3 linked regions of the Sus scrofa genome follow. The protein of the gene in region 1 purifies or fractionates together with the protein of each later gene. This does not show direct contact. Links are inferred from orthologs where the notes say so. Each region holds a gene or a part of one and is shown in the gene's direction. Other genes may lie near its edges.

The links. The genes of interacting proteins can lie anywhere in the genome.
Region 2: the proteins of WDR62 (region 1) and MAPK8 purify together in Homo sapiens (affinity purification with mass spectrometry; 5 studies listed by BioGRID and IntAct, counting the BioPlex papers as one, with this or other methods). This does not show direct contact. The link is inferred for Sus scrofa from reciprocal best matches to the Homo sapiens genes WDR62 and MAPK8.
Region 3: the proteins of WDR62 (region 1) and CEP170 purify together in Homo sapiens (affinity purification with mass spectrometry; 3 studies listed by BioGRID and IntAct, with this or other methods). This does not show direct contact. The link is inferred for Sus scrofa from reciprocal best matches to the Homo sapiens genes WDR62 and CEP170.

Annotation. Positions count from the first base shown.
Region 1 is NC_010448.4:45,456,452-45,460,902, forward strand, and holds part of WDR62 (WD repeat-containing protein 62), read left to right. Parts: intron 1-2,599; coding exon 2,600-2,667; intron 2,668-2,741; coding exon 2,742-2,863; intron 2,864-3,613; coding exon 3,614-3,689; intron 3,690-4,431; coding exon 4,432-4,451. UniProt on the Homo sapiens protein: Required for cerebral cortical development. Plays a role in neuronal proliferation and migration.
Region 2 is NC_010456.5:89,089,484-89,093,934, forward strand, and holds part of MAPK8 (mitogen-activated protein kinase 8), read left to right. Parts: intron 1-1,228; coding exon 1,229-1,394; intron 1,395-4,428; coding exon 4,429-4,451. UniProt on the Homo sapiens protein: Serine/threonine-protein kinase involved in various processes such as cell proliferation, differentiation, migration, transformation and programmed cell death.
Region 3 is NC_010452.4:16,072,127-16,076,577, reverse strand, and holds part of CEP170 (centrosomal protein of 170 kDa), read left to right. Parts: intron 1-2,326; coding exon 2,327-2,420; intron 2,421-3,133; coding exon 3,134-3,185; intron 3,186-4,451.

The DNA of each region.
Region 1 (4,451 bases):
GGATCCTGGTGGTCGCTATGCCACTGGAAAGAGATTTTCCCTTGTGCTGTCAGTTTTGGCAGAAATTGGGAGCCAACTTCCCTTGTGCTGGCTTGAGGCGCTTGTCCTTTCCAGAATAGTTATCGGTGCCAGAGCTTAGGGGTGTTCTCTTGGGCCAGGTCTGACTCATGTGCCCCCAGCCCCCACCTGCCTCCATCTGCATCCAGGAGGACTGGCATTAGATGAGAACTGGTCCCCAGAAGGCAGTCAGGGTGCCAATCCAGGGTGGGATGGGTGCTGGTGACTTTGGCAGAAAAATGGGTGACAGCAGCCATGGCTGGAGGCAAATTCTGTGCTGGGTGATGGTCCTTGCCCATCCCAGCAGTTACCCACCTCCTTATCCCCTTTACAGCCAGGGACACAGCCAGTAGGTGCAGGCCTGGTATTTGGCATAAGGCTGTCCTTCAAAGCCTGTGCTCAACCCAGCAATTGAAGGGATCCCTCCAAGACTGGAAAGATTGAGTGTGGAGATCCCTGGCCATGAGGAATTCCAAGAGAAGAGCATGTAGGCCTCATGGGGGTTTAACTGATTAGAACCTAGGAACATATTCAAAACTGTATTCAAGAAGAATCCGGAGTTCCCGTCGAGGCGCAGCAGAAACGAATCCGACCAGGAACCATGAGGTTGCAGGTTTGACCCTTGGCCTCGCTCAGTGGGTTAAGGATCCAGTGTTGCCATGAGCTGTGGTGTGGGTCGAAGATGCTGCTCGGATCTGGTGTTGCTGTGGCTGTGGTGTAGGCTGGCAGCTGTAGCTTCGATTAGACCCCTAGCCTGGGAACCTCCATGTGCTGCAAGTGTGGCCTTAAAAACCAAAAAAAAAAAAAAAAAAAAAAAAAAAAGATTCCATTCATGGAGAGAATACATCTGTGTACTCCAAGTTCTCAACCATGAAGAGTTTCCTTCACATAATCTTGCGGCTAAGAATGTACTAATGTGCCTTGGTTTTCTCGCTTCCTGCCCTGCCTCTGTCTAACTAAGGTGGTCAGGAGCTGGGCCAAAACGGGTCAACAATATTTGCAATGTCTTAGTGAGGATCTAACAAAAGCTCATCTGCTCAGACTTCTCAGACATCCTTAAAAGACCATTCTTTCCACAGGGTAGTTAGAATTGTTCAGTAAACCTGGAAGTTTGGCCAGCAGTGACCTCACCTTTAAAGAATGGTCTAGATCCTAGAGAGGTGATGACTGCCCAAGAGGGTGGCCCAAGAGTCAGTCCTTGAGGCCACCTTCAGAAGGTGTGGGCCTCTGGTAAAGTCCCAGCCAGGCTGAGGAGGCGCATCCTAAAGCAAACTCCTGTGAACCCTGCTCCGACTGGGCTGGCTCGCCTGGGCCTTGTCCTCAAAACGTTGATAGTTCATAGAAACTGGGCTCCAGCCAGTCAGAAACTGTCTGGAGCTACCTAGCTAAAAAAATGAGTCAGTGAAATACACATCCAAAAATACACAGAAAACCTGTTACTAGTTCACAGACTCCTTCAGTGAGTGTCCACATCAAGGGTCATAGCTGGTAGGTTTGAACCATGCCAGACACGCATTGTTTACAGCCAGCAACTGTTCTGATTGGTCCTGGTCCCAGTATTGCTAAATACTTGGACTCACCACCCTGGGTAAAGAAGCAAAACATTACCAGTGACTTGCAGGCCCTCTCTGGGTCCCTCCTGGGTCCCAGTCCCCCTCCCTCCAGCCCCCAACACACACCCCCTTCCGTGATCTGCTAACTCCTGCCTGAGCAACACCTTAACTTGCATGTCAGGCCCGGACGCTCTTCAAAAGTCCTGTCATGAAGGAGCAGTGTGTTCTGTCTTTTCATTCTCACTACAACTCTCTGAGGTATTTGTGCTGTGATTATTGTTATTTTATAAAGAAAGAAGGATAAAAGCAACGCCACGCCAGTAGTGCTTACCAGGTGGCAACCATTGTCCCTAGAGCTTCACGCCGCTCCACGGTGAAGGAGGCTCGTTAAACAGGCTGGAAGCTGAGGCTCAGAGAGGAAGCCTGGCTACAGAGCAGTGTTTAACCAGAGCTTGCCTGGGTTCAGCCCTGGCCCGGTCCTGACGCTGCACCCTGGGACAAGGACTGTGTGACGCTGAGCCCCTGGGTTCCCATTTGTGCAACGCAGTGGCTGGTGACAGGAAGGGGAGGCGCAGGCAGTGCAGGCCCTGGACCGAGGAATGTGTGGATATTCTGATTGTTCTTGATAGTGTGAGCCTCCCAGAGGTCTGCCTGTCTCCTCTCTTCTGTTCAGTCCCACCTCCATGCTGCAACCCAAGTCACCTCTCCAAATCCCACATGAAACATGGTGCCCCTGCTGCGTCCTGGCCTCTGCTTCCCTACCTGCTGTTGCTCTGCAGAGGCCTGCAGCCCACTGCTCCCTGTGTCCCCACACACACACACGGCTCTACCACTCACCGCACCTCTTCCACGAACCCCAGCACTCACCTCACCTCTTCCACGAAGCCCCCTCTGACCCCCAGCAGAGTTCCCTTGCGGTAGTTTCCCTAGCTAGGATCTGCAGCCCAGCGGTGGCCCAGCCCTGCCTAGTACACTGCTCCTTCCTCCAGGCAGCAGAGACATCCAGATGATCAGCTGTGGTGCCGACAAGAGCATCTACTTCCGCAGTGCCCAGCAGGTAGCGTGGGGTGGCCTCCTTGGGGTAGGGGGCTTGTCAGGGGCGTCCTCTGAAGGCCCTGCCTGCCCTGCCAGGCCTCGGATGGACTGCACTTCGTCCGTACCCACCACGTGGCAGAGAAGACCACCCTGTATGACATGGACATTGACATTACCCAGAAGTATGTGGCCGTGGCCTGCCAGGACCGCAACGTCAGGTGAGGGCAGTCCTGGCTTCTGAGTTGGCTTGGCCTGGGCTGGTTTCTGAGCGGGGCCTGTAGGGGCCTAGTTGGGCCTGTCTTCTCATGGGCTGCTTGCTTTCCTCCTGCTTATCTGGTCCCTGAAGCAGGGTGGGGTGGAGGGACCGTGTGGGTGTTTCTTAGGAGCTGGGCTCACCCAGGTCAGCCGAGGGTTCCCCTGGCTCTCAGGAGCCTGTGTGGGGTGACTGAGAGGTGCTGATGTGGCTCGTAGACTTATTCACTCACCCTTGTTTCCTGAGCAGCTGTCTAGAAGGGACAGTGGGAAAGTCATGTGGAGTGGAAGAGAGAGAACCTCCCCAGACTGTGACAGCACAGAGTGACCAGAGCTGGGACAACAGGAGCTTGTGGAAAGGGCCTGTTGGAAGGGACGGCTGAGCTTAGCCCGGGAGGATGGGGAGGAATGAGCATGTGCAGAGAGCTTCTCCACCACCTTCATTTGCTCATTCGAACTGGATGCCAGGCCCTCAGCTTGCTATGGACGGGGAGGCAGACATGAACTCAAGGGACACCCAGTACATAGCCTCTGTGACCCAGCCTGGGATGAGGTCACATTCCCCGGCATGGGGTTTCAGCCCAGACATTAGATGGGGGATAGGAGGAATGGGGACTTCCAGGGGAAAGGAGGGAGCAGGTAAGGCTGGATCCAGAGGACAGGAGAGGGTGAGTGGGCAGGGCCAGGTTAGTCACTTATGCCCCCCACCTTCCTAGAGTCTACAACACCGTGAACGGGAAGCAGAAGAAGTGCTACAAGGGCTCCCAGGGAGATGAAGGGTCCCTGTTGAAGGTAAGAAACTGGGGCTCCCGGGTGAAAGCCGCACACACAGCCACACACAAGGCCCCCCTCTCTGTCTTCTCCCCTGCTAGGCCGCCTGAGACTTGCGTCCTCCTTGGCACCTGATCCGTAGATCACACCCTGGCCAGTATCCACTAAGGCCTGGCTGACCAAGGATGCGGGGAGCCAGCCCTGATTGCTCTACCTTTATTTACTGAACCCTGCCCCAAGCGGAGCCATTTAAGTGGTTTCCATCTTGAGTGTCAGTAGAGCGGGGTGTGGGAAGAATCCGAGAGACCTGGGGTCCCTCTCCAGCCTTGCTCCCTGCCTGTGTCATCCAGGACGAGGTGGGAGCCTTCTTAGGGGCCTCTGGACAAGGAGTTTAGGCTTCAGGGTCAGACCCTCTTAACAGCTCTGCCTCAGGCTGCCTGTGACCTTGGGCAAATGTCATCTATTCTCAACCTGTTTCATCATCTGTAAAATGCAAAGAAGCCTCTATCAGAGAGTTCTGTGGAGGAAATAGGTTCACACACGTACAGTGCTCAGCACGGAGCCTGGTTGCCGTTAGTACCATTGCCATGGCTGGTCGTTTCGCCTGTGGAGGGGGAGGTGTATGTGGTGAAGGTTACCTGGGACAAGTCCATGTACCAGGTGCCCAGCAGAGGGGGCCACTGAGTGGGGCCCTGAGGTTGCTTCCCAGGCCCCTGGGAAGGAGGAGACCGCCCAGGGGTCACGTGGATCCTCTTCTTGGCAGGTCCATGTGGACCCTTCAGG
Region 2 (4,451 bases), on another chromosome or scaffold:
ACTTACATGTGTCTAATAATTAGTGATGTTGAGCATTTTTTCATGTGCCTCTGGCCATCCATATACCTTCTTAGGAGAAATGTCTCCTTTAGGTCTTCTGGCCATTTTTTCAGTTGTGTTATTTGTTTTTTTGTTGCTGAGTTGTTTGGATATTTTGGAGTTTAAGCCCTTGTCGGTAGCATCATTAGCAAGTCTTTTCTCCCATTCCATTGTTTGTCTTTTTTTTTTTTTTTTTTTTTTTTTTTGTCCTAATGGTTTCCTTTGCTGTACAAAAGCTCATAAGTTTGATTAGGTCTCATTTATTTTTGTTTTTATTTTTATTGCCTTGGGAGACTGACCTAAGAAAACATTTATATAGTTTGTTAGAGAATGTTTTGCTTAGGACATCTGCTGATTTGAAAGGTCAAATGACATGTGCTTAGAATGGCCCATTATTGATGTATACAACTTATTGTGACTTTAAAATGAGATCTTTGGGAGTTCTGCTGTGGTGTAGCAGGTTAAGGATCTGGCCTTGTCACTGCAGTGGCTTGGGTCACAGTTGTGGCTCAGGTTCCACATGCCATGGGCATGGCCAAAAAAAAAAAAAATAAGATCTTTTAAAAGTAGGTAATTTAGTGTACAAGTGAATATACATGTTAACTTATGATTCTCTCTTTTACTATAATCTCTTTTTTCTTTTTTTTTTTTAATTGTCTTTTTAGGGCCACACCCATGGCACATGGAGGTTCCCAGGCTAGGGGTCTAATTGGAGCTACAGCTGCCAGCCACAGCCACAGCAGTGCCATGTCTGCAACCTATACCACAGCTCATGGCAACGCTGGATCCTTAACCCACTGAGTGAGGCCAGGGATTGAACCCACAGCCTCATGGTTCCTAGCCGTATTCGTTTCTGCTGCGCCATGACAGGAACTCCTATAATAGTTCTTATGTGATCTTTAAGATGCCTTTCTGAATCACTTTTACTCCACTGATGGAAAATTTCTAGCTAATCTTAATATCTAGCAAATAAAACATTATTAACTTCTCTAATAACTATTCATAAATTAGAAATGTTCTCAAGCTGATGTCTCAAATTTGCCTATAGTGATGAATCTGTGCAGTGGTAACAATTACAGTGAAAAAATGAGCAATTAGCCTGAATTGTTTTACAAGTGATCTACTATCTTGTGGACTGCAGAATATTTGTTTATATCATAGCAGTCATTTTTTATTTTTATTTTTGAAGGACTTAAAGCCCAGTAATATAGTGGTAAAATCAGACTGCACTTTGAAGATTCTTGACTTTGGACTGGCCAGGACTGCAGGAACTAGTTTTATGATGACACCTTACGTAGTGACTCGCTACTACAGAGCACCTGAGGTCATCCTAGGGATGGGCTACAAAGAAAACGGTCAGCATACTATTTATCTGAAATACGGTTCTGTGTTATTTGCTTTCGTTTGTAAGATTTCTTGTGTAAATACTTACATTGAAATGCATAGAGTTAAAGGTATATTGGTGTTTGAAATGTTTATCAAGAGTTTGACAGTAACTACAATTCTTTTTTAAATTTTTAGAAAAACTTGGGGCCCCTGTTTATTTAAATACAAATAACCAACAACACTACCATTGGATAAAGCATTTGTTGCCATGGCCCCTGTAACAGAGCATATACCATTTGCTTGCTTATACCTTGAAAATGAGCATTCTGACGTGGGCTCAAGGAGCCATATAGTGAACCAATAGATAAATTTGCATTGGTGATATTTGCACACATTTCCAATCTTGTGACATTGAAGTTAATAGCAGTAACACTTACTACAAACTTTAAGAGCTATAATAAGGACATTCTGTATGCTGATGGATAATTTAAGGTGACCTTTTGGACCCTTGTGACCAGCTTTAGAGAAATGGTATTATTCTGTGCAGGTAAGGTCAATTATATATATCAGCACTAATCAAAGTTGAAGAAAATTATCAGGCATGCAGTTCATGAATTAAAAAAAATTATACATATATATATTTATACTTAAGAAATTTTGTTAAATCTTAGTCATTTAGGAGATGAATAAATCTGCACAGGAGTTTATTGACTTAAATGTGGCAACTCAATTCAGGATATTTCATAGAATAAGACTTGGACATTTTTTTCTAGCAAAGAATCTAAAACAGCAGTTCACTTTGAAACAGGAAATTGCATCAAGTTAACCTTTGGGATTCATTTTTATAAACGATAACATTGAGTTATCTGTTATAAAAAGATATTTTGTAAAAAGAATTTTAGCTTCGTTTACTTTTCTGAGCTAATTGAACATTTGCTATTATTCTTTTGTTTTTAAATATGCTGTTCTGTCATCTTTCTCCTTACCTAAAATTACTGTATACCCTATAGAATCTAGTGAGTTAGATTTAGTATTAGACATTTTAAAATTTTTTTTGAGAATTGATACTTTAAGTGACCAGCATGAAGATTGCTTTTGCATTTGCTATGAAACCATTGATTGTCACAGATAATATATATAAAGGGTCACTCTGGGCTGTGATCTTGAGAGCTCCCTACCAGAAATTAACACCAAGAAAAACCATCTTATGAAGAATTGATGAGCTTTCTTTTCTTAGATAAGAATTATATAGATCACCTTGTTGCCTTTTTTTGCCCAAAGAAACTGTCAGTATAATGCTTGATTCTGATAATTTCATTAGCCAGCAAGTTTTAACTTAAGAACTTCGTTCTTTTAATGTCTTTTATTGCAAGCTACCTCAAAGCTTTTTGAAAAGTGTGAGATAATGGAATATATTTAAACTGCCCAATGGACTAAGCAGTTAGACCCTGTAAAAGCAAGTTTTTGTATGAATCAAGCTTTTCCTTTTCTGGGGAAAGTAGTGACTCAGACAGTATCTTCTCTCATGATTGCAGCTTTTGAAATCTTTTTTTTTTTTTAAGATACACTTTTTTAAAGATTACCTTCATAAATTGTGTCCTGGATATTTAACTAAAGCTTGCTATTCTCTATAAAAGCCATAGGGAAAAATTATTGTGATAGATTTTTTTCCAAACACCCTGGGAAAAATACTTTCTGAACTACTGATTTGGGAATATTAATTTTCCTCTAAATATTTATTCTTGAAAGTTGAATCATGCCATGGATATTAAAAGATTTGTTTGTATTTTAATGTGAAATTTTAGAGAAACTTTAGTTCCATAGGATTTCTAAAATTTGTTCTTAATTTAGCTTCTAAAATTGTGTAATGAATTGGTAGTCTCCTTACTGAGTATTTTAGAAAATACAGACTTTCCCAAAGTTCTCTTGCATAGGTAAAGAGTCTATCTCTAACATCTATTCTTGTGCTTTTCCTCTTTTGCTATTAAAGAATGGGGCCTTCAAACTTAAACAAATGCAAGTTTCTAAAACTTTCCTTTCACATTGCTCATTCTTCCCCTCTTATATTAAACTACAAGCACCTGCTCTTTTTATCTGATTTTCAGACTCAAATATAAAATGTCCGGGTACATTGTTTTAATGAACAGGTGGAGAACCTCAAATTGCTCATTTCTGTGCCTGGCAGATTCATCTCAGCATTGATTCAAGCTCTCATTTAAAGTTGACAAGAGTCAGGAAGTCCTCTAGGAGACTGTAGATAATAAATCTTTGGGGACTTTTCATACATATTCAACCAAAACTAACTTCTTAAACCAGTTTGGTTATAGGGGTTTAAAAAACTTTCAGTGAAAAACATGTGAAATATACTTCTTTTTATTAAATTTTCTTAATTTGATTGTTTGTTCTGTATGCACGTGTTAGGGTAGTAGAGTAAATGCAGCATGATGTTGCCAAGAAGGCAAATTACTTTCAACTCAGAATAAACATAACACTTCTCAAAACAAATTTATAAAATACAATATGAAAATTTCTAAAGAGCTTTAGATTAATTTTTTAACTGTGATTATTCATAGAAGCATTTCTGTTAAATATTTTAATATACTAGATTATTTCTGCTCATGCTTTTTTCTTTTATTTGACTTAAAGAGAGAGTATAATGCACAGTTGAACCACAAAATAGAATCAAGATTTTTTTTTTAAATTTTGCTACTCATGTACATTTTCAGCCTTATTTGTAAGATTTGTGTTCATTTCTTTTTTGTATTTTATAAACAAATTTTCAGAAACAAAATATATAGGTTTTTTTCAGTTATGTAGTTTCTGTGCATAGCTCTCACTTTAAAATTAGATACAGTAAAAAGGCCACATTTCACATTTGCTTTTGTGAATCAAAAAGCCTTTTGAAAAAATACTTTGTTTTTAGTTATTCCATTAGCTAAAATTAAAATCACTTTTTTCTTTGTGATGTTTTGCAGTTTTTAATATAACGCAGTCATATTATGCTTCTTTGATTTTAATGACCTTTTGCTTTGCTTTTCCTTCTTTTGTGCTGCAAACATATAGTGGATTTATGGTCTGTGGGGTGC
Region 3 (4,451 bases), on another chromosome or scaffold:
CTGGCCTTGCTCAGCGGGTTAAGGATCCGGTGTTGCCGTGAGTTGTTGTGTAGGTTGCAGATGCGGCTTGGATCCTGCATTGCTGTGGCTGTGGTGTAGGCCGGTGGCTACAGCTCCGAATGGACCCCTAGCCTGGGAAACTCCGTATGTCGCAGGGGCGGCCCAAGAAATGGCAAAAAGACCAAATAATAATAATAATAATAACAACCCTCCATCATGTCTTAGCTTTAGACTCTACCTTCTGTGGCATTAAATTCAAAGCGATAGCAATTATGTTTCCTCTTGAACTACACTGAGTACTTGAACCAAGCTCAAGGCATGACTCCTCGTATTAATCACTTAGACAAGAGAGGAGGCCCTACGGTTTGTTAATTCTATGTAAATGACTAACTGATTAGGCTTTTTTTTTTTCCTGCAAATTACAGTTGGGCTTTACCCCAGGGAAGGGAGGGCTTCATTTGTCTCTGGGCACACACTTGATTAGGAGATCAGAGGAGGACAGAGCCTCACATGAGGAGAGCTCCCTTACTTGTGACAGAAGATGGGATCAGCAGACTTGGGGATGACGTAGCCATTAAAGGAACACAAACACCCTACCCCACCTAAGGAGACCTTAGAGCGCTAATGCCCTGACCATTGGGTGTGATTCAAATGAAAACAGTGCAGAGTTCCCATTGTGGCTCAGCTGGTTAAGAACCTGACTAGCATGCATGAGGCTGCCCATTCAATCCCTGGCATGGATCAGTGGGCTAAGCATCCGGTGTTGGCTCCTGCATAGGTCGCAGATGCATCTCGGATCTGGCGTGGCTGTGGTTGTGGCATAGGCCAGCAGCTACAGCTCCAGTGCCACCCCTAGCCTGGGAACTTCCCTATGCTGCAGGTGTGGCACTAAAATTAATTAATGAATTAAAATAAAATCAAATAATAAAATAAACGCGCTCCTTAAGAAAAGCCAAACATTCAGTTGCTTTTTAACTCTCAAGGCATCATGCCTCATATTCCAGCCAGATTTAGAGGGACTTGATATGCTTCACTGATATTTTTTAATCTGCAGTTTTACTCAGAACTGATTGGCCTACATCACTGTATAAGCTTCAGGCGAACAACATGATGGTTTGATTTACATATATATTGTGAAGTGATGGCCACTGTAAGTTCAGCTGACTTCTCTCTTCTCATATAGACACAATACAAAAATGAAAGAAAAAAGAAAAATAGTTTCTGGTCTGTGCTCACGCTTGGGTTTTGCGCTCTTGACAACAAGTGCCTAGAGGTTTGTCCTCATGGCCACCTCCTGCTAATTCCTCCTCCCTGGACCTTCTGCCTTGTAACCACAAGTCTGTTCTCTTTTTCTATGAGTCTGGGGATTTTGTTTGTTATTGTTTTTGGTTTGGGTTTCACTATAAGTGAGACCATAATGTATCTGTCTCTTTCTCTCTCATTGCACTTAGCATAATGCCTTCAAGGCCCATCCATGTTGTTGAAAATGCATTTCCTCTTTTCTGTGGCTGAATAATGTTTATACACACACCCCCCCACACACACACATCTTCTTTATCCATTCATCCGTTGGTGGACACCTCGGTTGTTTCCATATCCTTGCTGTTATAAATAATGCTGCTGTGATCACAGTGGGTACAGAGATCTTTTCAAGTGTTTCCTTTTTTTTTTTTTTTGGATATATTCCCAGAAGTGAAATTGGTGGATCATATAGTAGTATTACTTTTAATTTTTTGAGGCGCTTCCGCAAAAAACCATAGTGGTTGTACCAATTTACAGTCCCACCAGCAAAGCACAAGGGTTCCCTTTTCTCCCCATCAGCCTTTGTTATCTCTTGCCTTTTGGATAATGATCATTCTAACAGGCAAGAGGTGCCATCTCCTTGTGGTTTTAATTTGCATTTCCTTCATGGCTAGTGGTGTTCAGCATCTTTTTGTGTACCTAATGGCCCTTTGTATATCTTCTTTGGAGAAATATCTCTGCATGTCCTTTGCCCATTTTTTAATTGGGTTTTATTGGGTTTTTTGCTATTGAATTGTATGAGTTCTTTATCTGTTTTGGATATTAAACTCTTATCAGATGGTTTTCAATAAAGGATTAGATAAGCACTTAAAGGGTTTATGTGTGTATTCATAGCCAGTTACTTTTTTAGTACAAATTCTCTTAAGATAAGTGCGTTTATTGGTAATGTTGGTTCAGTATTGAATTTACAATTCATGTAATATTTAGTGGTTTCTTTATTCTTCTGTAGCTTTGTGTTATCATTAAAATGTGATAGATTTTTTTTAAATGCGAAAAGTAAAATGCCTGTGTTTTTGCTTTATAGAATATTATTTAAAGACAAAGATCGGAATTGGGATGAAATAGAAAGCAAGTTAAGAGCCGAAAGTGAAGTCCCTATTGTGAAAACCTCAAGTATGGTATGGTCGTTTTTCTTGACTCTTAAAACATTTTGAAAGGAGGGTTTTGCTTTCAGGGAATGGCATGCTTATTTTTTACCTGTTGATGTATAAAAGAAGATATAAGTGTACAAATTTGGGAAATTTTATGCCTTCACTGTCTCTCACAGAGGTTTAACATGTTGCTTGTTTCAAAGTTCTTGAGGGTGTGGGGTCTCAGAATTACATACTCTTGTTCTTGTGATAATTATAGATTATAAATAAGCCATTTTGAAATAAGAGCCAAACTCAAATACAAGTTGACATGAGTCATTTCCATTTCCTTCATCTAGATTGCTTGTTTCCTCCCCAAGGGTTTGTGCAGGTTTTTCTTGTTCAGGGAGTTATCCCAACAGTCTATGAATTTTCCAAGGAAAACCCGCAAGCACTTTTACAAAGGTGTTGCAAGGTTGGTCAGTACAAGTTTTCAAAATATTTGCTTATAGAATATTATTTTGAACTTTTCATCATCTGTCATCATCTCATTTTTAAAAAGACTGTTTCAACATTAAAGATTTTAAAATTTGAATCTCATTTATTGGAGATCATGATTATTTCATATCCTGTTGCTACAGATGTAAAGCCATGTAGATAATATGAAGGATTCCAGATAAGAGGAGTGTGAGGTTCATTGCTTATCAAACAAAAATGTTTTGATTAAAGTAAGCTAATTTTTGTTACTATTTTCTCTACAGGAGATCTCTTCAATCTTACAGGAACTAAAAAGAGTTGAAAAGCAGCTACAAGGTAAATTTGCTACTGAATTTAGTATAAAGAGCTAATGATTTGGGACAAGTACCTTCTAAGTGGTATTTCTAAAGTAGTATTGACTATTAGAACACTATGTTATTGGAGTTCACGTTGTGGCACAGTGGTTATGGTTAACGAATCCGACTAGGAACCATGAGGTTTCGGGTTCGGTCCCTGCCCTTGTTCAGTGGGTTAACGATCCGGCGTTGCCATGAGCTGTGGTGTAGGTTGCAGACGCGGCTCGGATCCCGCGTTGCTGTGGCTCTGGCGTAGGCCGGTGGCTACAGCTCCGATTGGACCCCTAGCCTGGGAACCTCCATATGCCGCGGGAGCAGCCCAAGAAATAGCAAAAGACCAAAAAAAAAAAGAACACTATGTGATTAAGTGTAATGATGTATAGATAAAGATATAGATTCTGGGAGTTCCTGTTGTGGCTCCATTGGTTAAGGACCTGATGTCTCCAGGAGGATGCCAGTTAGATCCCTGGTTTCTCTCAGTAGGTTAAGAATCTGGCATTGCTGCAAGCTGCAGCATAGGTTGCATTTGTGGCTTGGATCTGGTGTTGCCAGGGCTGTGGCATAGGCCAGCAGCTGCAGCTCAGATTCAACTCCTGGCACGGGAGTTTCCATATGCTGCAGGTGTGGCCAAAAAAAAAGAAAAAAAGATACAGATTCTGCATATTCAAATTTTTCATATAAAGGAGGTTTTAAAACCTAGTATGAATAATTTAAAATAGAAGAAAGTTTAATCCTAGGCATATAGGATAGATGTTATAATTCACAGTATTATATATAGGCTCTAATATTTTTATATATAGATGCTGTTATTGAAAAACATATAAATAATGTATTAGGGAGTTCTGTTGTGGCTCAGTAGTAATGAACCGGACAGTATCCATGAGGACGCGGGTTCGTTCCCTGGCCCCTCTCCATGGGTTAAGGATCCGGCATTGCTGTGAGCTGCAGTGTAGGTTGCTGCCACTGGCATAGACCAGTGGCTACAGCTCCAGTTCAGCCCCTGGCCTGGGAATTTCCATATACTGCAGGTGCAGCCCTAAAATAAATTAATTATATTAAATAATATATTAAAGTGTGTGTGTGTGTGTGTGTGTGTGTGTGTGTGTGTAGCTGATAATGCTTACTGCCAATTAGCATTATTTACATGATTTGATAATTCTTAAATTATATTTTTGGTATAACCCACATGAACTTATGTTCTAATGTAAATAATAGTCATTTGGCTGAACTACAAGAATTGAGTGTG